Linked DNA regions of Anolis sagrei. The protein of the gene in region 2 interacts with the protein of the main gene of each other region in a pairwise test. Links are inferred from orthologs where the notes say so. Each region holds a gene or a part of one and is shown on either strand. Other genes may lie near its edges. The genes, in order: NINL, KAT7, VIM and DVL3.

What was found.
Region 1: the proteins of KAT7 (region 2) and NINL interact in a two-hybrid assay, tested with the Homo sapiens proteins (2 studies listed by BioGRID and IntAct). The two-hybrid records come from large-scale screens. The link is inferred for Anolis sagrei from reciprocal best matches to the Homo sapiens genes KAT7 and NINL.
Region 3: the proteins of KAT7 (region 2) and VIM interact in binary tests that used the Homo sapiens proteins (3 or more experiments, as listed by UniProt). The link is inferred for Anolis sagrei from reciprocal best matches to the Homo sapiens genes KAT7 and VIM.
Region 4: the proteins of KAT7 (region 2) and DVL3 interact in a two-hybrid assay, tested with the Homo sapiens proteins (2 studies listed by BioGRID and IntAct). The two-hybrid records come from large-scale screens. The link is inferred for Anolis sagrei from reciprocal best matches to the Homo sapiens genes KAT7 and DVL3.

The regions. Positions count from the first base shown.
Region 1 is NC_090021.1:21,905,932-21,912,885, forward strand, and holds the start of NINL (ninein-like protein), read right to left. Parts: upstream 3,006-6,954; 5' UTR 2,749-3,005; intron 1-2,748. Other genes in the region: EIF4A3 (eukaryotic initiation factor 4A-III), read left to right, coding at 6,269-6,434, 6,679-6,751. UniProt on the Homo sapiens protein: Involved in the microtubule organization in interphase cells. Overexpression induces the fragmentation of the Golgi, and causes lysosomes to disperse toward the cell periphery; it also interferes with mitotic spindle assembly.
Region 2 is NC_090026.1:31,669,682-31,677,211, forward strand, and holds the start of KAT7 (histone acetyltransferase KAT7), read right to left. Parts: upstream 3,019-7,530; 5' UTR 2,970-3,018; coding exon 2,940-2,969; intron 1-2,939. UniProt on the Homo sapiens protein: Catalytic subunit of histone acetyltransferase HBO1 complexes, which specifically mediate acetylation of histone H3 at 'Lys-14' (H3K14ac), thereby regulating various processes, such as gene transcription, protein ubiquitination, immune regulation, stem cell pluripotent and self-renewal maintenance and embryonic development.
Region 3 is NC_090026.1:105,844,137-105,851,670, forward strand, and holds the start of VIM (vimentin), read left to right. Parts: upstream 1-4,532; 5' UTR 4,533-4,618; coding exon 4,619-5,193; intron 5,194-7,534. UniProt on the Homo sapiens protein: Vimentins are class-III intermediate filaments found in various non-epithelial cells, especially mesenchymal cells. Vimentin is attached to the nucleus, endoplasmic reticulum, and mitochondria, either laterally or terminally.
Region 4 is NC_090023.1:264,637,246-264,644,965, forward strand, and holds the start of DVL3 (segment polarity protein dishevelled homolog DVL-3), read right to left. Parts: upstream 3,021-7,720; 5' UTR 2,910-3,020; coding exon 2,695-2,909; intron 1-2,694. UniProt on the Homo sapiens protein: Involved in the signal transduction pathway mediated by multiple Wnt genes.

The DNA.
Region 1 (6,954 bases), on a different chromosome or scaffold from region 2:
CATATAACTATAAATTAACCTAACCAAATTAAAACATAAAATAACATTTAGACATAAAGCATAAAATATTAAACACTGATAATACAATAATACAAAGGTAAGCTATCTATGGGTGGGGGCCTGCATAGGAGCAATTCTGAACACTAAAGCAAATACAGTGTCCACATAAAGGTGGGGTATCCCATAAGGTCCCAGAATAGATGCAACCCTGAACCGTTAAAGAAAAGTACAGTAGTCCCACAAAGGTGGAAATATCCCAAAAAAACCCAGTATAGGAGCAGAGTTTTGTACTCCTATAAAGTTGGGTCCTTGCACAGGAGGAATCCTGAACCCATAAAGCAAGGATAACACTCCCATCAAGGTGGGGTGTCCTAAATAAGGCCCCTTTACACGTGCAATTCTGAATGAGTAAGAAAAGTAGAGTGCACTCGCATAGGAGCAAACATGACCCACTAAAGCAAGTATAATACTCACATAAAGGTGAGATACTTTAATGGGCCCCTACCTAGGAGCTACTATGAATAACTAAAGAAAGTAGAGTACTTGTATAAAGACGGGCTGTTAAAGGTTCCCTGCATAGGAGCAATCCTGAACCACTAAAGCAAGTGCAATACTCAATATGAAGATGAGATATTACTGCATTTTCATATGTGTGTTTGTAGAAATTTTGTAGTATTTGTGTGCTTTTTTACTGTGCTGTGACCTGCCTCGAGCCATGTGGAGAGGTGGGTAAGAAATAAAATTATATTATTGTTATTATTATTGCTATGTACATAACAACACAGCACACATGTACATGAGGTCCAAGTGTCTGAGATTCATCCCTGAATATCGGGCTTTTCCCAAAGGCCTAGAATATTAGAGGTGCGCAGTTCTGAGAAGTGTTGCCTTCTGCAGCATGTGGATTGAAGTTCTGTCCAAATTAAGTGCTTTCCAGTGCTTTTTTTTTTTTTTTTTGGGGGGGGGGGGGTTCTTGGAATGCCCTCAAGAAAACCAACTAAGATTGGTACCACTGTTTTCTTTTGACATAGTCATCCAATTTCAAGTTGTAACTCCTTGTATTTCATTATCTTTTCCAGCTCTTTGTCCTCGACTCTGTTGTCTCCTGGTACTGATAAAAATATGTTTTTTTCCACAACTGTCATATCTCATGTGTTATGTGGCAGGTGTTTATCTGTTTGGATTCCGAAATCCCTGAGTATTTTTGCTTCTTCATTTTCCATAGTCGTCATCATTTACTTCTTTTTCTTCTTCTTATTATTATTATATCTTAAAGGGCCCCTGCATAGGAGCAGCCCTGAACCCCTAAAGCAAGTACAGTATTCTTGTAAAGCTGGAATATTCTATACTATATCCTATAGGTAGTCTGTCCTATATGGCCCTTGCATAGGAGCAACCCTGGACCCATAAAGCAAGAACAGAATTCTTGTAAAGGTAGGATATTCTATACTGTATACTATCGGTGGTCTGTCCTATAGGGCCCCTGGATAGGAGCAACTCTGGATCCCTAAAACAAGCACTGTATTCTTGTAAAGATGGGATATTCTATAAAATATCCTATAGGTGGCCTGTCCTATAAGGTCTCTGCAGTGGGGCAACCCTGAACCCCCAAAGCAAACACAGTATTCTTGTAATGGTGGGATATTCTATAAAATAGCCTATGTAATGGTGGGATATTCTATAAAATAGCCTATATGTGGGCCGTTCTATAGGGTCCCTGCATAGGAGCAACCCTGGACCCCTAAAGTAAGCACAGTATTATTGTAAAGGTGGGATATTCTATACTATAGGTGGTCTGTCCTATAGGGTCCCCTACATAGGAGCAACCCTGAACCCCTAAAGCAAGCACAATGTTCTTGTAAAGGTGGGATATTCTATACTATAGGTGGTCTGCCCTATAGAGTCCCTGCATAGGAGCAACCCTGAACCCCTAAAGTAAGTACAATACTCAATGTGGAAGTGAGACATCTTAAAAATATCCTGCATAGGAGCAACCTGAACTCCTAAAGCAAGTACAGTACTCTTGTAAAGGTGGGATATTTTATACTATATCCTATAGGTGGTTTGTCCTATAGGACCCTGCATAGATGCAAGCCTGAACCCCTAAAGCAAGCACAGTATTCTTGTAAAAGTAGGATATTCTATATTATATCATATAGGTGGGCTGTCCTTTAGGGCACCTGCATAGGAGTAACCCTGGACCCCTAAAACAAGAACAGTATTCCTTTAAAGGTGGATATTATATACTAAATCCTATAGGTAGGTGTCCTATAGGGCCCCTGAATAGGAGCAACCCTGAACCCCTAAAGCAATACAATACTCAACATAAAAGTGAGATATCTTCAAGATATCCTGCATAGGAGTAACCTTGAACCCCTAAAGCAAGCACAATATTCTTGTAAAAATGGGACATTCTATATTATATCCTATAGGTGGGCTGTCCTATAGGGTACCTGGATGGGAGCAACCCTGAACCCCCAAAGCAAGTACAATACTCAAGGTGGAAGTGAGATACCTTCAAGATATTCTGCATAGGAGTAACCCTGAACCCCTAAAGCAAGCACAATATTCTTGTAAAAATGGGACATTCTATATTATATCCTATAGGTGGGCTGTCCTATAGGTTACCTGAATAGGAGCAACCCTGAACCCCTAAAGCAAGCGCAATACTCAAGGTGGAAGTGAGATATCTTCAAGATATCCTGCATAGGAGCAACCCTGAACCCCAAAAGCCAGCACAGCACTCACCTCTGCCCTCCTCCCACTTGTTGCTTTGACTCTCAGAGCAGAAACTGCAGCAGCAGGAGCAGCATCTCCAGGGAAAGGGAAGCCAAGCCTTGCTCCAGAGGCTCTCCTCCGCCTCCTTTGTGTCCCTCCGAAGCCCAAAGCGGCGTGCTTTGCCGGGGCTTCTCCCTCCAGGGGTGGAGGCCCCTCCCCGGGGCTGGACCGGGCTAAGCAGGCCGCCCCCCGTCCTCAGACCACCCTCCTCCTCCTGCCTGCCTCCCTTCCTCCTCCTCCTCCTGGCATTGGCTGCTGTTGCTTCTTCCTCTTGAGTCCCTGGCTGCAGCTGCACTGTGGGATTAATGCATGCAGCTTGGCACCTCTTGACCTGCATTGGCTCAAGGCTATGGGATCATGGGAGCTGTAGTTTGGCAAGGCACCAGCACTCTTGGCCAGAGGAGGCTGGAGACCTTGTGAAACTACAATTCCCACAATCCCATAGCATTGAGCCAGGGCAGTTGAAATGGTATCAAACTGTATTCTTTCTATAGTGTAAATATACCCACCATCAGGTGCTTTGCATCTTACTTCAAGGCTGGGAAAATAGGGGGAAAGCAACAACCACAACAACAACAACAACAACAAAGGCTCAGAAATAGAATCATAGAATCCTAGAGTTGGAAGAGACCTCATGGGCCATCCAGTCCAACCCCCTGCCAAGAAGCAGGAATACTGCATTCAAAGCACCCCTGACAGATGGCCATCCAGCCTCTGTTTAAAAGCTTCCAAAGGAGGAGCCTCCACCACACTCTGGGGCAGAGAGTTCCACTGCTGAACGGCTCTCACAGTCAGGAAGTTCTTCCTCATGTTCAGATGGAATCTCCTTTCTTGTAGTTTGAAGCCATTGTTCTGCGTCCTAGTCTCCAAGGAAGCAGAAAACAAGCTTGCTCCCTCCTCCCTGACTGCACTGACCATGTCATGTAAGATAACCAATTGCAGAGAAGGGAACCAATAGAATGAGCAGGAACTAGGCAGTGCTTCTTGTAGGTCAGAGAATGGTCCAGAGTGACTCCCAGGTATTATTTATTTATTTATTTACAGCTTTTATATTCCGCCCTTCTCACCCCGCAGGGGACTCAGGGCGAATTACAGTGTACACATACATGGCAAACATTCATTGCCAATTTTTGACATACAAACATATACAGACATACACAGAGGCTATTTAACTTTTTCTGGCCACCAGGGGAGCTGTCGCTTTCATTGTCCATCTGCGACACTGATGAAGTACTTCCGCATTCCTCGCATGCTTCCCCGCTGGAATGCTTTGCTGGAGTCTTCTTTATGGCCTCATAAATTAGTTAATTTAGCCTCCCCACACTTTAATGTGGTACCTAATTTTCCCACTTGACAGATACAACTGTCTTTCGGGTTGCAAAGGTCGACAACAGGCTACACACAATTGGTTGGAAAACCCACTCCAACCTGGGCTAGCTTCGAACTCATGACCTTTTGGTCAGAGTGATCTTTAATGCAGCTGACACTCAGCCAGCTGCGCCACAATCCCGGTATTTGGGTGTGCTGCAGTGCTCCAGTGGGATTCCTTCCCTGGTAATCCTCAGAGCTCGAAATGCTTGTCTGTTCTTAAGGTGAAAAGCACATGTCTGCATTTTAGATGGATTAGGAATCAGCTGGTTTTCCCTGTAATAGGTAGTAAGGCCACCTAAAGCTTTGGAGAGCTTCTGTTCAACGATTTCACAGCTCCCTGCTTGGGTGGTGATGGCATGATCGTCAGCATAGATGAAACTCTCTGTCCCTTCTAAACAGTATAATTTCTCCAGTGGTGTAGGGCGTAGACATCCTGTGATAATGCGGCATGTGTCCTTAAGAGCCACATCCACTGTTTTAACGTGATGGGATGTGTTCCACACTGGGCATAAGGAAAGGAAAGGGCCTGAGGTTGTTAGGAACTGTGGGAGTTGAAGTTCAAAACAACTCCCATGCCTGTTGTAGATGGACAGCACTGATCATGCTCTCATAATCTGAGGATTCGACCCTAGAATCATAGAATCAAGAGTTGGAAGAGACCTCATGGGCCATCCAGTCCAACCCCCTGCCAAGAAGCAGGAATGTTGCATTCAAATCACCCCTGACAGATGGCCATCCATCCTCTGTTTAAAAGCTTCCAAAGAAGGAGCCTCCACCACACTCTGGGGCAGAGAGTTCCACTGCTGAACGGCTCTCACAGTCAGGAAATTCTTCCTCGTGTTCAGATGGAATCTCCTCTCTTGTAGTTTGAAGCCATTGTTCCGCGTCCTATTCTCCAAGGAAGCAGAAAACAAGCTTGTTCCCTCCTCCCTGTGGCTTCCTCTCACATATTTATACATGGCTATCATATCTCCTCTCAGCCTTCTCTTCTTCAGGCTAAACATGCCCAGCTCCTTAAGCCGCTCCTCATAGGGCTTGTTCTCACCCTGACTCTGGAGATGTGAGTTCGAATCCTAGCTTAGCCACAGAAATCCAAGTCACACTCTCTCAGCCCCAGAGATAGGCAAAGGCAAACTTCGGACTTCAACTCCCAGAAGGCTCTCACATCGTGGCCAACACCCAGGAATTCTGGGAGATGAAGTCTCAGACAAAAGAATCCCTGCTTGTTGTGACTCTTATCAAAAACATATCTCTATGGGCAGAAGCGAACGTCGGTAAGCGTATGTTTAGGGCGAGAGTCACTGAGAAAGCTTTACTGCGCACGCGCAACTGTCTCCTGTATCTATAACCTTTACAAAGCGCGAACGTTGCAAAATCAGAGATGGAAGCATTAACGCGCATGCGTGAAGTCTAGTCCCGTTACTGACTCTATTGGGAGGAGTGAACGTTTGCTGACGTCATGGAGACAGGGTGAGGAAGGGCAAACTTCGGACTTCAACTCCCAGAAGTCTCCCACATCGTGGCCAACACTCAGGAATTCTGGGAGATGAAGTCCCAGACAAAAGAATCCCTCCTTGTTGTGACTCTATAAGTTATATCTCTATGGGCGGAAGCGAACGTCGCTAAGCGTCTTTTAGGGCGAGCGTCACTGAGAAAGCGTTAATGCGCATGCGCAAGTGTCTCTTTTATTTTTTACAAAGCGCGAGCGTTGCTAAATCAGATAGAAGCATTAACGCGCATGCGTGAAGCCTAGTCCCGTTACTGACTCTATTGGGAGGAGTGAACGTTTGCTGACGTCATTGAGACAGGGTGAGGAAGGGTTAGAGCGCATGCGTAAGTGATTGTTTGAGGCTGAGCGTTGGAGCGCATGCGTAAACTTCTCGTCTCTTTAGCGTCTGTTGGGACTCTCTGGAAAGGAGCGAACATTGGGTGGACGTATGTTTTACGTCGTGCGTCACCATCTACGTCATGGAGTAGAGCTGAGGGCGCATGCGCGGTTCAGTTGCGGCCTAGCCGGCGGTGTTGCGGATCTCCTCACGTTCTCACGCGCGGCCTTCGGAGCCTCTGAGGGAGAAACGCGTGCAGGGAAGCGGCGGGAGGCACGACTCGGCCGGGAAGGATGTCGGGGACGACGGGAGGTACGGCGGGCTCTGCTCGGAAGCGGCTGCTGAAGGAGGAAGACATGACGAAGGTGGAGTTCGAGACCAGCGAAGAGGTGGACGTCACCCCCACCTTCGACACCATGGGCCTGCGCGAGGACCTCCTCCGAGGCATCTACGCCTACGGTGAGCCGGGAGGGACAAGATTCTCATTCTGTCTCGCATTATAACCATCTATACAAACATAACAACAATAACACAGTCTACCGTTATATATTATTATATATTATCAGTAGTAACTATTATATTTAATATATTAGTATTGCTATATTACAGTAGGGCGGCATATAAATGTCATAAATGTTCATGTTTTGGGGTTTGATCTGTAAGTGGAAAGGGATGCTAAATGAATTTTAAATGGCTTTTCTAGGCTTTGAGAAACCTTCAGCTATCCAGCAGAGAGCAATCAAACAGATCATTAAAGGAAGAGACGTAATTGCACAGTAAGTACAGATTATTTAATTATTTAAACATTTATATTCCGCCCTTCTCACGTCGCAGGGGACTCAGAGCAGAGCACAACATATATACGGCAAATATTCAATGCTGGGATATAAAACCATAAATATATACAAACATTAAAGTCACTTATATTCAGATTAAAAGTTGCTTAAAAACCATCTCAGGACACCATTTTGCCTCATTT
Region 2 (7,530 bases):
TCACATATTCCCCAAGTCAACGCTTATAAGGAAGATATCTCCATGCCTCAATGCACAGGGAAGTAACTAAGGTTTGCAGGTATTTAAAGACTCCCATAATCCTCCACCATCAGTCTGATGTGAATTGGAAGTCAGATCTCAAGGCAATGGTCTTAAACTTATTTTTTCATATAGTCAATCAGAAACCACTGACAAACTCTTGCTGTTTTCAGTTTTAGTCCTCACAATTCCTACACTGATCATGGTGACTGGAGTTCTGAGAACTTACTGGTAAATCCAAACAATCCAGAAAGTTGTTTCATCATGTTGCACCAAATGATCATCAGCTCTCTATGCAAGGAACTATGCGCAACACTGTTTCTTAGGAAGACAACATTTCTAAGCATTAGCCTGTTTCATAGCCACCCACACAAACAGGGTTGAGACCTTGCTAACGTTACATAGATTATAATGCAATTTTCAATAATCCACTGCACACATATTGTGATATTAGATGATAAGTATGATTCAAAGTATATGCCTGAAGACTAAATCAAGAATGTGGAGTGTCATTTGTATATGGATGATGAAAAGCTAACAGAGTGTGAGTAGGAGGTGTTGTTAGAATGATGTGCAAGGAAAAGAGAACAACAGGGTCAGGATTCAGAAGTCAGAGAGAAAAAAGAATCAAGTTCCAAAAAGACAACAAAAGAGTGTGTGAGGGTAGACAGTGCTGTACAGTTAACAGATTAATGGTATATTAAAATAAAGGGAAACTGCAGTCACATATGTTTGTGCCCTGGAGGTAAAAAGTGTCGTCCTCTCTCTCTCTCATATATGCATATGTATATATGCTGATTGCACCAGTGAGGTGCCACTTACCTCACAGAAAAGTTTTGTATTGTTTAGTGGCTATTCTAGGGTTTTCTTAGTCATGTATAAGAAGTCTTGGTTTTACCAATGCTAAACTCTCAATTAAACAACAACTGCAAGATGTGACTATTTGAATACATGTGGGATAATTAAGTGCCATAAGATCATCTATTCTTAGTGAATGAATCACCCCCAATCTTCCCATTCTATTTCACTGATACATTATTACAGATTATTACAGATTTTGATTATGAAAAGGTACATACAAAGACGCGTCTGAACATAGTGTCACTTGTCGTTGTTGCTGATTTAATGTCCTCTATGTGGGTAAAGCGATATGTGGGTAAAACTCTTATTGAGCTTTATGGCATTCTAATATTTTGTGTTGTTTGATATGCCTCTGTGCAAAAGCTGTAACGTTTTTCTTTATTGTTGGTCAGGTCTCAGAGTGTACGTGCAAAAACAACCCAGCCTTATTTTCAAACACAGAGGAAGTGGTTCCAGTGGGAATCCTGGGAGCAATAATACGTTAAGAGCAAATGTGGGATTTGAGGTAGGATTAACACAATGACAGCCATGTGATCATCACAGTGGTCCCTTCGCCACTCAAGTTCAAATACAGCTAGCATTTAAAATGGTCTTCACAGACACACAGCAAACAGCTTAACCTATATGTCATGCAGTCTAGTTTATTTTATTTATTATTTATTTACTTTGCTTATATACTGCTGTATCTCAAACCCGAAGGCGACTCACAGCGGTTCAGGTTCAGAAACCTGAAACAACTTCTTTGGGGACAGTTGTCACTGTTGATTTAATAATCAATATAGGAAACACTGTAGAATTAATGTGTTTGACACCACTTTAACTGCCATGGCCCAATGCTACAGAATCATAGAATTTGTAGTTTGCTGGAGCACTAATACTCTTTGGCAGACAAGACTAGACTATTTATTTATTATATTTATTTTTTTCCTATGTTTATACCCCGCCCTTTTCTCCCCGAAAGAGGACTCAGGGTGGCCTAACAAAAGCATCATATGATGCTAGCATCATAAAAACAACCACAATACAATCAAAATATTAAAAATCAAAACAACAATCAAAACAATTAATTAAGACACATCCATTAAAATCGAAATTTAAAAACCAGTCCAGGTCAATTCATTGCCATAAGTTGTGTGATCTTCTTCCACTTGCTGCTCACTGATCAAATGCTTGGTCCCATAAACAGGTCTTGATTTTCCTTATAAAAACGACAACTCCCACAATTCCATAGAATTGAGCCATGACAGTTAAAAGTGGTACCAATCTGCATCAATTCTACAGTGTTGATGCACCTGAAGAAGAACTGTGATCATAAGCATCTTAAATTATTCAATTAGATAACGTTTACAATTGTGTTTTGTGTCGTGACACAAATTGGGTAACAGGTGCCAGGGAAGGAAGAGAACGCTAAGGGGACTCCAAAGAGTTAAAGAGGAGTAGTCTGGGAGAATTTACTCTTGCAGCAATGTTAACACTAAGCAGATATAGATTTGACAAGCCTCAGCACATGTAAAAGCAAATCATTAGTAAGATAAATATGAGGATTGAATGAAAAGTAATGCCTCCAGCTTTGTTACTTGGGTTTGGAAGGGAATATTTTAATAAATCGAACGCAGAAATAATCCTTAGAATGTGCTCTTTAACTACCACTATTCACTTTTCCACATAATCACCAGACAATTGGATACACTTCTGCCAACGATAAACAAGTTTTCTGAAGCCATCACAGAAGACGTCAACTCTCTGTTTCCGCAACCAGCGTCTCACAGTTCTCTCAACCTGGGTACCCATCGTGCACAGATCTTCTGATAGCCAAGCAAAGCAATAATGTGACACACATGTTCTCGTGAAATGCTGATGATGCTTGAAATTTCTCTCTGAGTGATATGACAATCGTCCTGAATCAATCTGTCAACCTTTTGCTTGTGAAACTCGGTGGTTGCTGTCACAGGATGTCCAACTCTTTGTTTATCACGCAAGCCAGATGTTCCCACCTCAACATCTTTAAACTTACTCGCCCAATGACGCACAGTACTCACATCAACACAATCACCATAGACAGCTTGCATTCTCTGATGAATCTCCTTTGGGGTGACACCTTCTGTTGTCAAGAATTCAATAACTGCATGTTGCTTAAGTTGCATTGATCAACCATCTTCGCAGGGTTCCATACTTCGCACATTAACAACACAACCGTTCAATGCTAAGGCTTCCCACCAAAACGGAACTGTAGAGGAGAGTCTACTGAACAAGCCAGTACCTGCCATCTGTTGAGGAGTTACGAAGGTAGAGGCATTACATTTCATTCAACCCTCGTACATACTTAAAAGATGCACTTGAAGAACTGAAAGATACAAATGTTTAGAATATTTTCCAACGATGTCTGTATACTCAATACATAGCAGCAGAGTACAAATGTGCTGTGACTCTTGATTCATCACTTTATAATTGAAAAACAAATACTACCGCTCAATCAAGCTAGTTAAGAAAATTATTCTATTTATTCCAGTAGGAGCTATGTATATGAACTAGGAGTCTGAAATTATAATCTCCAAAAGAATATCTGGCAGTTTTGGATTACAGCAGAAGTTTCCAAACATCTTCTGCCATGGAACCATTCAGAAGGCATTCCTATCCCCACCCTCCATGGTACCCTAATTCTATCCTTGATTTTTAGCTTGTGAACCCACAAAGTTTTTTGGATAATACCAAAATACTTTAAATACTTTACTTTGGAAATACTTTAAATATAACCACAAACCTTTATTTCAACCAAGAAAATATTGGATTATTTCATGAATTAGAGTGTTTAATTTTTGTACTAAGAATAGTTCTGAAACTGGTCTTTATGTCCAACAGATAAATTTGAAGATCTGGGGTGGAATCCAACTTACTTCTGTATTTGTTTTTGATGTAAATATACACTGGAAAACCTAATTCACATCGACAGGTGGACACAAAGGGGAGCAGAGCTTGGATGGTCTTTCTGGCTACTAGTCCTACCCAAAAGTCATTCAGTGGTACAGATTCAAAAAGCTGAGGTACACTGAATTTAGCCATCTCTCCACAAAAGTTGACATTGATGCCAAAATACACCATTCGAGCTTTGTGAGTGCAGCATTTTTTCAAATGAAGCCCTGTTGAGGATAAGGGCATTCATAAGGATACCAAGATGCTTGTTTATAAAGCCTTTATACTTCCAACTCTGTTGTACACATGTGATACATGGAATGTCTACAAATGTTACTCTCAACTTCTAGCACAATTCCATCAGCGTTGCCTTCAAAAATGTCTTTGGACAGGTGGACAAATGTCAGCATTCTGGAAACAAAGACCATCAGTACGGAAGAGATGATCCTACACCATCAACTTCGCTGAAGCAGCTGTGTTGTCCAAATGTCTGATCACCATCTCCCAAAGCAGTTACTTTACTCTCAGCTCAACAATGGAAAAGGGAATGTTGATTGACAGCAAAAGAGATTTAAAGATGGGCTTAAAGCTAATCTTTAAAATACGTGGAATAAACACTCCATGGCACTTGAGTGCTCTCACTGGATGTCAGCTTACCAACAGTGCTGTAGCTTTCAAAGAAGCATGAATAGAGGACGAAAGGAAAAAAGGAGTCAAAGGGAAGGTGTGTCATGCAAAACCTTGTCGGGACTGCTTTCCATTTGGAAATATGTCTCCTCGAAAGCCCATGTGGATCTAGAATAGGTCTCTAGTCACTAACAGGCCCACCACCAAGACCATACCTGGCCACGAGGGATCACCTATAGCGACAATGAATTTCAATAAGATCTTCATACGCTGGCACAGACAACATGTGATGTTTATTCCAATTGACAAATGAGTCTTTCGTGCACTCAATGTCTCAGCTGATGTCTGGGAAATATGCCTTGTGTGGTTTTATATTAAAATCCATCTTAAATTTCTCTCAGTCTCAAGGGAAGGCAATGGCTAATCACACCTGGACAAATTTCGCCAAAAAGCCCCTGTACTGGAGTCACCTTGGAGTGGAAATGACACAATAACAAGTTAACAAAATTATATCAGTTTCAATGTATCAGAGGATCTTTTGCTGTATGAAACTATGTATGAAACTAAAATGAATCTAACCACTTGAAATGGAAATCTCTAAGGGCTCTTTCCCACAGCCGTGTAATCTTTTAACTTTATTGAATGTTTAAATTGTGTTATCTATTTATTATGTCATCACCAGTTTTATAATTTATTAGATATGTATTGTCAAAGGCTTTCATGGCTGGAATCACTGGGTTGTTGTAGATTTTTCGGGCTACAGGACGATGTTCTAGAAGCATTCTCTCCTGACGTTTTGCCTGCATCTATAGCAGGGATCCTCTGAGGATGCCTGCCACAGATGCAGGCGAAACGTCAGGAAAGAATGCTTCTAGAACATGGCCATATAGCCTGAAAAACCTACAACAACCTCTTATTAGATATGTTTGTGGTGTGATGATTATGCATAATTTTATGCTCTGCAATGTTTTTCATTACATGTTTGTTTGCCACTTTGAGTACCAATTGGGAGAAAGGCGGGATAGAAATAAATAAATAATTAAAACCCAGAATATCATGGCAGATAATCCACAATATTGGCATTGGACTGGGTTATCTAAGGGTCCTTCCACACAACCATATAACCTAGAATATCAAGGCAGAAAATCGCACAATATTGGCTTTGAACTGAAATATATGGCAGAACACAGTTCACAACAGATATTGTGAGATTTTCTGCCTTGATAGTCTTGGTTATATGGCTGTGTGGAAGCGCCCTTCCAGACAGGCCCTGTATCCCAGGATCTGAACCCAGGTTTTCTGCTTTAAACTGGACTATATGAGTCCGCACTGCCTGATAATCTGGGATAAACATAAAACCTGGGATCAGATGCTGGGATCCTGGGCCTGTCTGGAAGGGCCCAAGTCCACACTGCCATATAATCCAGTTCAATGTGGAGTTTGTGTAGAAGAGGCCTTAACTAGATTGATCAAAAGGAAATGATACCTTTGCAGGTTTATCCTGCAGTTAAAATGGTTCCATGATGAGAAAAAAATGTAAGAGTATAACCATATTTAATCAAAACTGATTCCTGTTCTGCAACCCTGCCTGGGCCATCTTGCTTGCTCTGTTTTGAACCATCTCAGGCATTTTCTTCCTCCGCCAATCACAACATCAAGGAGGTGGGCGTTCGGCTGCCTGCCATCCAATGAGGAGCAAGGGAAGGCTAATTCAGAGCAGCCAATCAGCGCCTTTCCTCAACACATACAGCCAAGTCTGAAGCGAGGAAGGAGGCGGGGAGAAGAAAACCGCGCCAGTAGGAAGTGATAGGGAGGCCAACCAATGAGAGGACGGCAACGGAGCCTATCAGGGCGGGAAGGAGGCGGGACACAACAACCACCCAAAGGGAGGAGGGAAACAAATAACCGTCGAAGGCGGGGCTTGCCCTAACTGATGGCGAGGGCGGCCATTCAAGTGGCGGCGGGAGGCAGAGGGAGCCAATCACGCCGCGAGCTGAAGCAGGGGCTTGAAGGCCTACGTTTTTAACTGGTTTTCGAGCCTGGCGGTCTAAGCGGGCGAAGGAGAAGGCGAGCGGAGGGGCTTGGCTCCTTCTGGCGCCGCTTACCTTTCGGCGAGACATCCTGGGCGGAGGCGGCGGCGGAGGCAGCGAGGGTGGCTGCGCCCCGGCCGCCGCGTTGGCTCCGGCGGTGTCCGTCGTGACTGGCGTGCCTCCGGTCCCCCAGCGCCAGGCCGCGCCGCCCTCTGGTGCCTGATTCCCCCCAGCGGCGACCTTTCAGCCGACTCCCTCCACTCTTCCGCCGGGACACTCGGCGGGGAGATACACACCCCCGTCCTGCCCGTCACGTGACGCAGACAAACCTCACCTCACGCCGACGGCCGCCCGCCATCTTGGAATGGGGAATGACGTCTTCCGCGCGTGGAGCGGCGGCCATTTTTGAGCCGGGCAGGGCCTCGGGTCGAAAGAACAGGGGCGGCCATCTTTGAGCCGGGCAGAGCTTGGTTCTTACCCAAAAGTCTAAACTGACCACAGTTGCATCGGGAGTTTGAATTCAGAGCGGTGCTGAATCCGCCATCTTTGTTTTGGGAACCAGCCTCTGTTCCTCATAATAGGAGCATCCATTTTTGGTTTGGGCAAACTGGGTTGTAGCTATATACATTTCTCTATTATTATTATTATTATTATTATTATTTATGTTGCTGTGGCCCACATGGGGGTTCTGTGTGGGAGATTAGGCCCAATTCTATCGGTGGGGTTCAGAATGCTCTTTCACTGTAGGTGAACTATAAATCCCAGCAACTACAACTCCCAAATGTCAAGATTCTATTTCCCCCAAACTCCACCAGTGTTCACATTTTGGCATATTGAGTATTCTTGTACAGCTTGGTCCAGATCCATCATTGTTTGAGTCCACGGTGATCTTTGGATGTAGGTGAACTACAACTCCAAAACCAAAGGACACTGCCACCAAATCCTTCCAGTATTTTCTTTTGGTCATGGGAGAATTGTGTGCCAAGTTTGGTTCAATTCTATTGTTGTGGGGTTCAGAATGCTCTGTGATTGTAGGTGAACTATAAATCCCAGCAACTACAAC
Region 3 (7,534 bases), about 74 Mb from region 2:
GGGATCAAATGTGGTGTACTGGTATGAGTGCTGGGCTAGGGGTGCATCTACATCTTAAATGAATGCAGTTTGACACTACTTTAACTGCCATGGCTCAAAGCTATGTAATCTTGAGGTTTGGAATTAGGTGAGGCACTTGGTAACTTTGGCAGAGAAGGCTAAAGACCTCATAAAACTACAACTCCAATTATTCCATAGTATTGAACCGTGCTATCTAAAGTGGTGTCAAACTGCATTAATTCTACAGTGTAGAAACATCCTATGACTTCCTTTTCAGCTATGAAAATTAAGTGGGTGATCTTAGGCAAGTCATACTCCCTCAGCTTTTTGAGGAAGGCAAGGACAAACCTCCTCGGAATAAATTTCAGAAAGAAAACCCCAGAATAGGGTGATGAGTCCCTAGCACACATACCAACAAGAAACTTCCTATGGAACTCAGTGGATTGACTCCCTGACCAATGACCACATCTATTAGCAGAACTGATTTTGAAAGATGTAAGTCAGCAAGTGTATTTGCAGATGAAATTTGTGCTGTGCAACCGCTTTGCATCATGAACAGGATACTTCCTCTTTTTTTCTCCATTTCTTATGAGAAATAAAAAAAAAGATCAAGAAAAAACAGGATAGCTGCAGAAAGCCTTTGGGCCTAAATCTGTCCACCTGAGAACACGCTGGATGCATCTACTACACTATAAAATGAATACAGTTTGATGCAACATTAACTGTCACAGCTCAATGCTATGGAATCATTGCAGTTGTAGTTTTAGAGCCTTTCCACACAGCCACATAACCCTGAATATCAAGGCAGAATAACACACAATATGTACTTTGAGCTGGGTTATCTGAGTCCACACAGCCACATATTCCAGTTCAAAGAAGATAATGTGGAATTTTATTCAATGTGTGGAAGGGGCCTTAGAAACTCTTAAGCAGATAACCTGCGATTTTATTCAGCTGTGTGGAAGGGGCCTTAGAAGCCCTTCAGCCCTTTCTGTCAAAAGAGTGCAGGTACCTCAACAAACTACAGATCCCAGGATTCCATAGCACTGAGCCATGACAGGTAAAGATCTGTCAAGATGAATTAGTTTTACAATGTAGATCTGCCACAGCTTCCTTCCCCTTTCTGAGGAAGTTATTGCCTTATTATTATTATTATTAAAAAGCAGCACAATATACAAGTGTCTCCAGCAGAGTCAGGCGGAGGCAAGAGGCAAGTCAGCCAAGCAAACAGGACTCCTCTCTGGCATCAGATAAACTCCCATGTGGACATGGCTGATAAGCAAGCATGCCTTTCTTGTGCATCTCAAAGAACATGAACTTGGCCCTGAGGAGCTGGAAATAGCGGGTACACCTACACTGCAAAATAAATGCAGTTTGACACCACTTGAATGGCTATGTCTCAGTGTTACACAATCTTGGAAGCTGTAGTTAGGTTTAAGGTTAGGGTTTGGTTTAGGGTTAGGATTAGAGTTAAGGGTTAGGGTAAGGGTTAGGATTAGAGTTAAGGGTTAAGGTAAAGTTTAGGGTTTGGGTTAGGATCAGGGTTAAGAAGGTTAAGCTTAGAGTTAGGTTTAGGTTTAAGGGTTAGGGTTAGGTTTAGGGTTAGGATTAGAGTTAAGGGTAAGGGTTAGGATTAGAGTTAAGGGTTAAGGTAAGGTTTAGGGTTTGGGTTAGGATCAGGGTTAAGGGTTAGAGTTAGAGTTAGGTTTAGGGTTTTACCATGAAAGAACGATGAACTATGAATATCTGTGTTCCGTTCTGTGTTGCGCAAATAGCGCTCCCGAAGGAGCGAAGCGGAAACAGCGTAACGCTCTGAGCTTCCGGACCCAGCTTTCATACTATTACCGGGATTTTATTCAGTTGTGTGGAAGGGGCCTTAGTCGTTGATTTGGGAGGATGCTTGTGGGGCTGTTTTCTTTACTATTGTCCAAGTGCTTGGTCGTTTTTGTAAGTGCGCTTGCTGTTGGTGTGCGGATATTAATGAAGAATCTCTTCTCAAACACCCAGCCCAACTTTGTTGCAAGGGCGAAGAGGAGGAGGAAGAGGAGGGGGAGAAAGTGCCTCCTTCTAACCCAAGGGGAGGGGGGGAGGGGAGGTGATTGACGGCGGGGAAAAGCCCTGCGAGGGGAAAGGCGGAGGAGGGGACGGTGGCTGCAGCGGTCGGACAAGGGCCAGACTCCTGATTGATGGAGGAGGAGGAGGAGCAAAGTAGAAGCAGAGGAGAGAAGGAAAGAAATCGGGGGAGCCAAGGGTGGAGCTCATTGTTACCAACGTTGCCGGACATGGCGAGGAAAGCCGCCCCGAAAACGAAAAGTGAACCAAGACACTGAAAAGTTTGCGAGGCGCGCCATGGCGGCAGATAGAGCGGAGTCTTGAGGGGGAGCCCTGGAAATGTTGGGCGCCTCTACACCATGCATGGGCCAACTTGGGCCCTCCCTCCAGGTGTTTTGGACTTCAACTCCCACCATTCGTAATAGTCTCAGGCCCCTTCCTTTCCCCCCTCAGCCGCTTCTTCTAATAAATATCGAAGCCCAATTCACTTCCTCTCCGAAGTCCTTCCCAACTTGCAGAAAAGCTTTCCCATAAACCAAAGAAGCCAGTTTAAAGGGTCTCTCCTCTCCAGGCGAAACTGGGTCAGCCTTGGCTAGAAAGAGAGTTAAAGATTCTTTCGTCTCTGAGGCCCTTTCTACACGGCTCAATATAATCCCACATTATCTGCTTTGAAGTATACGGCAGTATGGACTCGGATAACCCAGTTCAAAGCTGATACTGTGGGATATAGGGCTGTGTGGAAGGACCCTGAGGGAAAGGGAGTGGTGTTACTAATGGTGGTTCTTCTCTTTGGGCTGCAGTGCTAAACTGACTCAAACTTCGTCAGAAAGCAGAGTGCTGTCACTGAGCTGGGACTGAGGCCCCTTCCACACAGCTGAATAAAATCCCACATTTTCTGCTTTGAACTGGAATATATAGCAATGTGGACTCCAATTACCCAGTTCAAACATGATATTGTAGGACTTTCTAATTTGATATTCTGGGTTATATGGCTCTATGAAAGGGCCATAAATGGAGTCACTAATGGGTTTTGTTTTTTACACCTAAGTAGATGCTTGTTCTAGACTGGTTCTTTACTCTATCCCAGGATCTAAACCCAGATGATCTTTTTGTCCCAGATAATTTGGCAGTGGAGACTCATTTAATCCAGTTCTAAGCAGATTATCTGTGGCCCCTTCCACATTAAAACCTCATGTTATTTGCTTTGAATTGGAATATATGGCTGTGTAGACTCAGATAACCATCCACACACCTATTTAACCCAGAATATCAAGCCAGAAAATCCTACAATATCTGCTTTGAACTGGGTTATCCGAGTCCACACTGTCATATATCCCAGTTCAAAGCAGAAAATGTGGGGTTTAATTTAGCTGTGTGGAAGGGGCCCCAGTTCAAGCAGATATTGTGGGGATTTTCTGCCTTGATATTCTGGGTTACGAGTCCACACTGCCATATATTCCAGGGCCCTTCCACACAGCCCTATATCCCAGAATATCAAGGCCAAAAATCCCACATTATCTGCGTGTGGATTCAGATAACCCAGAGCCCTTCCACACAGCCATATAACCCTGGCAGAAAATCCCACAATATACCCCAGTTCAAAGCAAATAATGAGGGATTTTACTCAGCTGTGTGGAAGGGGCCCCAGTTCAAAGCAAATATTGTTCGATTTTCTGCCTTGAAAATCCAACAATTTTCACCACAAATGAAGAGAGATATTGACAAGCTGGAATGTGTCCAGAGGAGAGCGACTAAAATGATCAAGGGTCTGGAGAACAAGCCCTATGAGGAGCGGCTTAAAGAGCTGGGCATGTTTAGCTTGAAGAAGAGAAGGCTGAGAGTAGACATGATAGCCATGTATAAATATGTGAGAGGAAGTCATAGGGAGCAAGTTTGTTTTCCGCTGCTCTGGAGACTAGGCTTCAAACTACAAGAAGGGAGATTCCACCTGAACATTAGGAAGAACTTCCTGACTGTGAGAGCTGTTCAGCAGTGGAACTCTCTGCCCCGGAGTGTGGTGGAGGCTCCTTCTTTAGAGGCTTTTAAACAGAGGCTGGATGGCCATCTGTCAGGGGTGCTTTGAATGCAGTTTTCCTGCTTCTTGGCAGGGGCTTGGACTGGATGGCCCATGAGATCCCTTCCAACTCTATGATTCTATGATATACTGGGTTATGTGGCTGTGTGGAAAGGTCCTGAGATGGATGAGATCCTTGGATACAGGGCAGCCTAAAACACTAGTCTTGGGCCTCTGGGCTGGGTTGGGACTGCGAGGGAAGGAAGGAAGGGAGAGGAGGAGGAGGAGGGGCCTCTCATCATCCCTCCCCCCCTCTTTCCCCCCTCCCTTCAGGGGTCCCAAAGGCCCCGTGAGTCATCCTTGGCCGGCTTTGGGGCCTCCTGATTGGCTCTCCGGGCGCTTGTTGGACGGGAGGGGCGTGCCCGGGGTATAAAAGGCGCTCCTCCTCGGCCCGCAGCGCCTTTCTTGCCTTGCGCACCTGCAGCAGAAGCCTTCCACGCCGTCTCCTCCTCCTCCTCCTCCACTCCACACACTTTTGGGATTACAACAACCATGAGCACCACGAGCAGCCAGCGCACCTCGTCTTACCGCCGCATGTTCGGAGGCTCCGGCCGGTCCAGCATGGGGGGTGGTGGAGGCGGCGGCGGCACCCGCTACGTCTCCTCTTCCTCGACGCGCTACTCCCTGGGCAGCGCCATCCGGCCCAGCAGCGTGCGCCTGGTCTCCTCGGCGCCCGGCGGCGGGATCTACGCCTCCAAGTCGGTGCGCTTGCGGTCCAGCATGCCCGCGATGCGCCACTTGGGCGACGCCGGCGTGGACTTCTCCCTGGCCGACGCCATCAACACGGAGTTCAAGGCCAACCGCACCAACGAGAAGGCCGAGCTGCAGGAGCTCAACGACCGCTTCGCCAACTACATCGACAAGGTGCGCTTCCTGGAGCAGCAGAACAAGATCCTGCTGGCGGAGCTGGAGCAGCTCAAGGGCAAAGGCACCTCCCGCCTGGGAGACCTCTACGAGGAGGAGATGCGCGAGCTCCGCCGCCAGGTCGACCAGCTCACCAACGACAAGGCGCGCGTGGAAGTGGAGCGGGACAACCTCAGCGACGACATCCTGCGCCTCCGGGAGAAGTAAGCGCGCGACGGGCAGGGCGGGCAGGGCAGGGCAGGGCGCATGCGCGGGGGAGAGGCCAGCAGAGGGCTGGTGGGTTTGTGGGACAGGTGTCAAGTCTAAGGGCCCTTCCACACACACAGCCCTATATCCCAGAATATCATGGTAGTATGGACTCATAACTCAGTTCAAGGCAGATATTGTGGGATTTTCTGCCTTGATACTCTGTGTGGAAGGACCCTAAATTGGAGGGAGAGGTGAATCTGCTCTTTCGGACTAATGTCACAACTTAGTTTTACTTGTATACCACTTTTCCATTGATACACAATGTACAATTACGAATATAATACTACTACTAATAATAATAGGTAAAGGTTGTCACCAGACATTAAGTCCAGTCATGTCGGACTCTGGGGGTTGGTGCTCATCTCCATTTCTAAGCCGAAGAGCTGCCGTTGTCCATAGACACCTCCAAGGTCATGTGGCCGGCATGACTGCATGGAGCATTGTTACCTTCCTGCCAGACAGGCCCCTAGGATTTTGATTCGGGGGGGGGGGGCTGAGTTTGATTCAGGGGGGGGGCTGCGTCTGAGTGAAAGAGGGTCTACCCTAGCAAACCTTTTGTATCGTTACCCCAATACCCCCATGCATATGGGATATATTGAGTATGGTGATCAGATCATGATATGAATAAACATAACAGTTTAAATAATGCACCAGTAAGGCCTTTTCGCAGACCATCATGAAAATTTGGGGGGGGGGGGGCTGAAGCCCCCAAGCCCCCCCCCCCCCGGCTACATGCCTGATGCCAGAGCAGTGTCTATTAATCTACTCACATCTGTTAGGTTGGCAGAAGCTGGGGCTGACAGTGGAAGCTCATGCCACTCCCTGGATTTGAACCTGCAGCCTTTCGGTCAACAAGCTCAGCATCTTAGCGGTTTAACACACTGCACCACCAGGGGCTCCCAGTAATAATAATAATATGATACTATAATTATATATTTATAATATATGTAATATTACTAATAATATTACAATATAATGTTACAGTACAATATAGTAATATTTAATACTGATATTGTACTATGCGAATAATATATATTGTATATATATATGTCTTGTAAGCTGCTCTGATTCCCCTTGGGGTGAGAAGGGCGGCATATAAATGTTGTAAACAAACAACAAGCAACAATTACAGACCTGGAAAATAAACATTAAAAATGGAACTTAACAAAGAATAGGCCTGGGCAAAGTTTGGTCCTCCAGGTATTTTGGACTCCAACTCCTACCATTCCTAACAGTCTCAGGCCCCTTCCTTTTCCCCCTCAGCCACTTAAGCGGCTGAGGGAGAAAAGGAAAGGGCCTGAGGCTGCTAGGAATGGTGGGAGTTGGAGTCCAAAATACCTGGAGGGAGGGCCCAAGTTTGTCCATGCAAACTAGAGACCTTTGTAAGATTTACAACTCCCAGCATTGAGCCATAGCAGTCCAAACTATTTCAGCACAACTAGAGAATGAATCCACTTTAAATCTGGTTTCTGCCTCCTGCAGAATTCTGGGGTTTGTAGTTTAGTAAGGCTGTTAAATGTTCCTCCCTAAACTACAAACCCCAGAACTCTGTAGGAAGCAGAAACTGGATTTAAAGTGGATTCGTTCTCTAGTGTGATGAGCACTCTTTAGCCATCTTGAATCCCTATATTTGAAGGAAGGTGGGATAAGAATAAAGTAAATGAATAAGTAAGCTTGTTGGATAGGGTGAAAGGGCTGAGGTAAGGATAATTTCAAAGCATAGGCACCACCTCACTGGGGCCCCTTCTACATAGCTGAATAAACCCCACATTATTTGCTTTGAACTGTGATATATGGCAGTGTGGACTCACGTAACCCAGTCCAAAGCAGATATTGTGGGTTATCTGAGTCCACACTCAGATAATGTGGGATTTTCTGCCTTGATATTCTGGGTTATATGGATGTGTGGAAGGGCCCTGGGAGTCCTGCAGAAGACAGGCAGAACTTCTCTCCTTCCTCCAACACTCAGATCCTAAGCATTGATAAACCTGAACCTAGCAGGTTTTAACTAGGGCCCCTTCCACACAGCTGAATAAAATCCCACATTATTTGCTTTGAACTGGAATATATGACTGTGGACTCAGGCAACCTAGTTCAAAGCAGATATTGTGGGATTTTCTGCCTTGATATTCTCTTGATATGGCTGTGTGGAAGGGCTCTAGAAGACACTGATGGGTATCTCAACACTGTAAAATGAATGCAGTCTGACACCGGGTTGTTGTAAGTTTTTTGGGCTGTATGGTCATGTTCCAGACCAGAAGCATTCTCTCCTGACATTTTGCCTGCATCTATGAC
Region 4 (7,720 bases), on a different chromosome or scaffold from region 2:
TTGCTTTATTGTAATTTGTTTGGGCTTGGCCTCATGTTAGCCGCCCCGAAGTCCCTTCGGGGAGATGATGGTGGGATATAAATAAAGTTTCTTATTATTATTTATTTCCTCCTGCAGTCAATGGAGGTCAGGCATGGGCAATGTTTATGCCAGGCATGGGCAAACTTGGGCCCTCCAGATGTTTTGGACTTCAACTCCCACATTTCCTAGCAGGCACAGGCCCTTTCATTCCCCCCCCCCCTCAGGGGTCTGAGACTGCTAGGAATTGTGGGAGTTGAAGTCCAAAATACCTGGAGGGCCCAAGTTTGCCCATGCCTGGTTTAGGCCTTTATTTATTTATGACATTTATATGTCGCCCTTCTCACCCCGAAGGGGACACAGAGTGGCTTACAAGATATATATACATACAATATATTATTAGCATAGTTGAATATCAGTATTATATACTGTACTATACCATTATATTGTAATATTACATGTCATATGAAATATATAATTATAATATCATTATTAGTAGTAGAACTAGCCATCCCCTGCTACACGTTGCTGTGGCCCAGTCTGTGTATATGTGTTTTGTGTGTGTATATATGTGTTTATGTGTGTGTGTGTGTATTTGTGTGTTCATATATATAAGTATATTCATATATATATATATGTGTGTGTGTGTGTGTGTGTATATGTCTGTATATATTTATATGTGTTTATGTGTATATTTATGTGTTCATATATATATATGTATATTCATATATATATGTGTGTGTGTATATGTGTCTGTATATATTTGTGTATTTGTGTGTTTATATGTGTACATGCACATTGTGTATATGTGTGTGCTTGTCTATAAGCATAATTGTGTGTATGCGTATGTATATGTATGTGTGTATATGTGTATATTTGTGTGTGTTTGTGCATATATATACGTGTGTGTATATGAATGTGTGCATATGTGTATGTATATGAGTGTATGTGTATATGTATATATTGAGTATTTTGGGGGGTTTTAAGTCTGTTCTGCTGGGATTTTGTGTGTGAGTGTGTGTGTGTGTATTTTTAGGGGTGATGGACACTCGTTGGACTGTTAGATGTATTGTATCCAAATTTCGTGTCAATTCGTCCAGTGGTTTTTGAATTATGTTAATTATATGTATCTACAATATATTATATTATATGTATATACAATATATTATATTACATTGGTTTATATGCATATACAATATATGATATTACATTATATGATATGTGTAAACAATATATTATATTACATTATATTATTTTTATATTATATTATATGTACATACAATATATTATATTATATGTATATACAATTTATTATATTACATTATATGTGTATACAATACATGTATATGTATATTTTATTGTATATGTGTATACAATAAAAATAATATTACATATTATATTATATGTATATACAATATAATACATTACATTATATTATTTTATATTATATTATATGTAGATACAATATATTATAATACATTATATTACTTTATATTATATTATATGTATATACCATTTATTATATTACATTATATTACTTTATATTATATTATATGTATATACAATTTATTATATTTATTTTATTATTATATTTTTTGTTACATTATATTCTTTTTATATTATATTATGTACATACAATATATTATATTATATGTATATACAATATATTATACTACATTATATTATTTTATGTTATATTATATGTATATACAATGTATTATATTACATTATATTATTTTATATTATATTATATGTATATACAATTTATTAAATCACATGATATTATTTTTATATTATATTACATGTATATACAATATATATTATATTATATTATGTGTATACAATATATTACATTACATTACATTATTTTTATATTATATTATATGTATATTCAATATATATTACATTATATTACTTTATATTATATGTATATACAATTTATTATATCACATTATATTATTTTTATATTATATTATATGTATATACAACATATATTATATTCTATTATGTGTATACAATATATTATATTACATTATATTCTTTTTATATTATATTATATGTATATTCAATATATGATATTACATTATATTACTTTATATTATATGTATATACAATTTATTATATCACATTATATTATTTTTATATTATATTATACGTATATACAACATATATTATATTCTATTATGTGTATACAATATATTATATTACATTATATTCTTTTTATATTATATATATGTATATACAATATATTATATTACATTATATTATATGTATATACCATTTATATCACATTATATTATATTATGTGTATACAATATATTATATTATATTCTTTTTATATCATATTATATGTATATACAATTTATTACATCAATAATATTATTATATTCTTTTTATATTACATTATGTACATAAAATATATTATATTACATTCTATTATATGTGTATACAATTTATCATATTACATTATATTCTTTTTATATTATATTACATATATATATAATATATAGTATTACATTCTACTATTTCTTTGGCGTAGGTCCATTGTCCTCTTGAGGGAGGACATCTCCGTCTACACTGCCATATAACCCAGATTATCTCCTTGCGGGAGACAGACAGACACAACACAAAAGCCAATGGACAGGAGGAGGAAGCGGGCCTGCCTGGGCGCCTCACCCGAAGTCGTCGTCCATGGACTTGAAGTAGAACTTGTAGCTGGGCCGGTTGAGGAGGGCCTTGAAGTCTCCCAGCGTGACCCGCTCGGCCGGGATGGCCACCTTCACCAGGTACGGCGTCTCCTGCTCGTCCAGGTGGTAGATGATCTTCGTCTCCGCCATCGCTGACGAGGAGGAGGAGGCTCCTACTGCTGCTGCGGCTGGAGGCGCCGCCATGGCTGCTCTCTCCCTCGGGGGGCTCGCTCACGCCAGCCCGGGGCTCCGGCAGCGCCTGCAGGCCCAAAAAGCAGCAGCAGCACAAGCAGCAGCACAAGCAACACAAGCCCCGCCCCCACCTCGCGCGGCTCCGCCCCTTCCGCTTCCGGCCTCCTCAGAGTGGGTGTTGCTCCAAGGAAGGCGCTTTCCACAACACTCCGAGGCAGAGAGTTCCACTGCTGAACAGCTCTCCCAGTCAAGTTCTTCCTCATGTTCAAGTGGAAGATCCTTTCGTATCCTTTGAGCCCAGGCTTCTCCCTCATCCAGGCTCGGCTTCAAAGCCTCCAAAGGAGGCTCTACCACACTCCATGGCAGAGAGTTCCACTGCTGAACAGCTCTCCCAGTCAGGAAGTTCTTCCTCATGTTCAGGTGGAAGATCCCATCGTATCCTTTGAGCCCAGGCTTCTCCCTCATCCAGGCTCTGCTTCAAAGCCTCCAAAGGAGGCTCCACCACACTCCATGGCAGAGAGTTCCACTGCTGAACAGCTCTCCCAGTCAAGTTCTTCCTCATGTTCAAGTGGAAGATCCTTTCGTACCCTTTGAGCCCAGGCTTCTCCCTCATCCAGGCTCTGCTTCAAAGCCTCCAAAGGAGGCTCCACCACACTCCAGTGCAGAGAGTTCCACTGCTGAACAGCTCTCCCAGTCAGGAAGTTCTTCCTCATGTTCAGGTGGAAGATCCTTTCGTATCCTTTGAGCCCAGGCTTCTCCCTCATCCAGGCTCTGCTTCAAAGCCTCCAAAGGAGGCTCCACCACACTCCATGGCAGAGAGTTCCACTGCTGAACAGCTCTCCCAGTCAGGAACTTCTACCTAATGTTCAGGGGGAAGATCATTTCGTATCCTTCTCCCTCATCCTTATGACAACCTCGACAGATGGCCATCCAGCCTCTATTTCAAAGCCTCCAAAGAAGGAGCCTCCACCACACTCCAGGGCAGAGAGTTCCACTGCTGAACAGCTCTCCCAGGCAGGAAGTTCTTCCTCATGTTCAGGGGGAAGATCCTTTCGTATCCTTTGGGCCCAGGCTTCTCCCTCTCCCTTATGACAACCTCTGCTTGAAAGGCTCCAAAGAAGGAGCCTCCGCCACACTCCAGGGCAGAGAGTTCCACTGCTGAACACCTCTCCCAGTCAGGAAGTTCTTCCTCATATTTAGGTGGAATCTCCTTTCCTGTAGAATCCTAGAGTTGGAAGAGACCTCATGGGCCATCCAGTCCAACCCCATTCTGCCAGGAAGCAGGAATATTGCATTCAAATCACCCCTGACAGATGGCCATCCAGCCTCTGTTTAAAAGCTTCCAAAGAAGAAGCCCCCACCACACTCCAGAACAGAGAGTTCCACTGTTGAACAGCTCTCACAGTCAGGAAGTTCTTCCTCATGTTCAGTGTAGAATCCTAGAGTTGGAAGAGACCTCATGGGCCATCCAGTCCAACCCCATTTTGCCAAGAAGCAGGAATATTACATTCAAATCACCCCTGACAGATGGCCACCCAGCCTCTGCTTGAAAGCCTCCAAAGAAGAAGCCCCCACCACATTCCAGAACAGAGAGTTCCACTGCTGAACGGCTCTCCCAGTCAGGAAGTTCTTCCTCATGTTCAGATGGAATCTCCTCTCTTGTAGTTTGAAGCCATTGTTCCGCGTCCTAGTCTCCAAGGAAGCAGAAAACAAGCTTGCTCCCTCCTCCCTGTGGCTTCCTCTCACATATTTATACATGGCTATCATGTCTCCTCTCAGCCTTCTCTTCTTCAGGCTAAAGATGCCCAGCTCCTTAAGCCGCTCCTCATAGGGCTTGTTCTCCAGACCCTTGATCATTTTAGTTGCCCTCCTCAGGACACATTCCAGCTTGTCAATATCTCCCTTCAATTGTGGTGCCCAGAATTGGACACAATATTCCAGGTGTGGTCTAACCAAAGCGGAATAGAGCATGGGGAGCATGACTTCCCTAGATCTAGACACTATGCTCCTCTTGATGCAGGCCAAAATCCCATTGGCTTTTTTTGCCGCCACATCACATTGTTGGCTCATGTTTAACTTGTTGTCCACGAGGACTCCAAGATCTTTTTCACACGTACTGCTCTCGAGCCAGGCCTCGTCCCCCATTCTGTATCTTTGCATTTCGTTTTTCCTGCCTAAGTGGAGTCTCTTGCATTTGTCCCTGTTGAACTTCATTACGTTAGTTTTGGCCCATCTCTCTAATCTGTCAAGATCGTTTTGAATCCTGCTTCTGTCCTCTGGACTATTGGCTATCCCTCCCAATTTGGTGTTGTCTGCAAACTTGATGATCATGCCTTCTAGCCCTTCATCCAAGTCATTAATAAAGATGTTGAACAGGACCGGGCCCAGGACAATACAACAACAATAGGTTGTTGTAGATTTTTTTCAGGCTATAGAGCCATGTTCTAGAGGCATTCTCTCCTGACGTTTCGCCTGCATCTATGGCAAGCATCCTCAGAGGCAGTAAGGTCTGTTGGAACTAGGAAAATGGGTTTGTATATCTGTGGGACAAAGAACTCTTGTCTGTTGGAGCTAGGTGTGAATGTTTCAACTGGCCACCTTGATTAGCATTTGATGGCCTGGCAGTTGTTTGGTGTGGCTTGTTAGTGCCTGGAGCAATCTTTTGTTGAGAGGTGATTAGCTGTCCCTGATTGTTTCCTCTCTGTTGTTTTGCTGTTGTAATTTTAGAGGCTTTTTTTTAATACTGGTAGCCAGATTTTGTTCATTTTCATGGTCTCCTCCTTTCTGTTGAAATTGTCCACATGCTTGTGGATTTCAATAGCTTCTCTGTGTAGTCTGACATGGTGGTTGTGAGAGTGGTCCAGCATTTCTGTGTTCTCAAATATTATGCTGTGTCCAGGTTGGTTCATCAGGTGCTCTGCTATGGCTGACTTCTCTGGTTGAAGTAGTCTGCAGTGCCTTTCATGTTCCTTGAGTCGTGTCTGGGCAATGCTGCTGCGTTTGGTGGTCCCTATGTAACTTGTCCACAGCTCCATGGTATACACCAAGCAGTAACAAGCCACGCCGAACAACTGCCAGGCCATCAAATGCTAATCAAGGTGGTCAGTTGAAACGTTCACACCTAGCTCCAACAGACAAGAGTCCTTTGTCCCACCCTGGTCATTCCACAGAGATATAAACCCAATTTTCCTAGTTCCAACAGATGATGAAGAAGAACTTTATTTTTCTACCCCGCCTCCATCTCCCCAAGGGGACTCAGGCGGCTCACATGGGGCCAAGCCCAGGCAACATACAATTAAAAGCAAAGCAACAACAAGTTACAAATTAAAATGACACAAAACAGCATAACAGTAATAAACAAGCATCAAGCAACAGCAACCCAAATTTTGGAGGGGGAAGGAGGCCAACATACAAATTGATTAAAAAGTAAATCTATATATATATAAATGCTCTGTGCATAATGAGTAGCTTAAAAACAAAAGAACCAATGAACGAAATCACACCAAATTTGGCAACAAAACATCTCACTACACAAGGAGTGACCATCACTCAAAACATTATGATTTTTCACTTGGGAGTTGTAGTTGCTGGGATTTATAATTCACCTGCTATCAAAGAGCATTCTGAATTCCACCAATGATAGAAACGAACCAAACTTGGCACACAGAACTCCCATGACCAACAGAAAATACTGGAAAGGTTTGGTGGGCATTGACCTTGAGTTTGGGAGTTGTAGTTCACCTACATCCAGAGAGCACTTTGGACTCAAACAATGATGGGCCTGGACCAAATTTGGCACAAATACTCACTATGCCCAAATGTCAACACTGGTGTTGTTTGGGGAAAATAGACCTTGACGTTTGGGAGTTGTAGTTACTGGGATTTATAGTTCACCTACAATCAAAGAGCATTCTGAACTCTATCAATGATGGAATTAAACCAAACTTGGCACACAGAACTCCCATGACCAACAGAAAATACTGGAAAGGTTTGGTGGGCATAGACCTTGAGTTTGCGAGTTGTAGTTCACCTACATCCAGAGAGCACTGTGGACTCAAACAATGATGGATCTGGACCACACTTGGCACGAATACTCAATACGCCCAAATATGAACACAGATGGAGTTTGGGGAACATAGACCTTGACATTTGGGAGTTGTAGTTACTGGGATTTATAGTTCCCCTACAATCGAGCATTCTGAACCCCACCAATGATAGAATTGGGGCAAACTTCCCACACAGAACCCTCATGACCAACAGAAAATACTGTGTTTTCTGGTGGTCTTTGGCGACCCTTCTGACACCTCTCTGGTGACCCCCCCCCCCCGAGTCTTGACTTCCCAGGTTGAGAAATGCTGCCTTAAGGCCATCCAGTCCAACTCCCTTCACCAGGGCAAGAAAACATAATCAAAGCTCTCCTGACAAAGGACCATCCAGCCATTCACACACAAACACACATATGTATATGACAGATGCAGTATCATAGATTTGAAAGGGACCCCTAAAGAAGGACAAAGATATGTTGCATGTTCCAGAGTAGGCAAACCAGACACTCTCCACATCAACACTGACCAAGAAACAGCAAGAAATACTGTTTACCCACAAGCATTAAGACATTACATATATTAGAAACCCACACTTTCTCATTACTTTATTTTCCAGATCACCAGACTGGGCCACAGCAACGCGTGGCAGGGGACCGCTAGTAGTTCAATAAAGTGGATAGGAACATAAATGGCACAGGAGATATCATGGAAACAGAGCAATTAAACAGGAACAGGATCATCTCAGTTTAACATTCATATATGAATAATGATGTCATA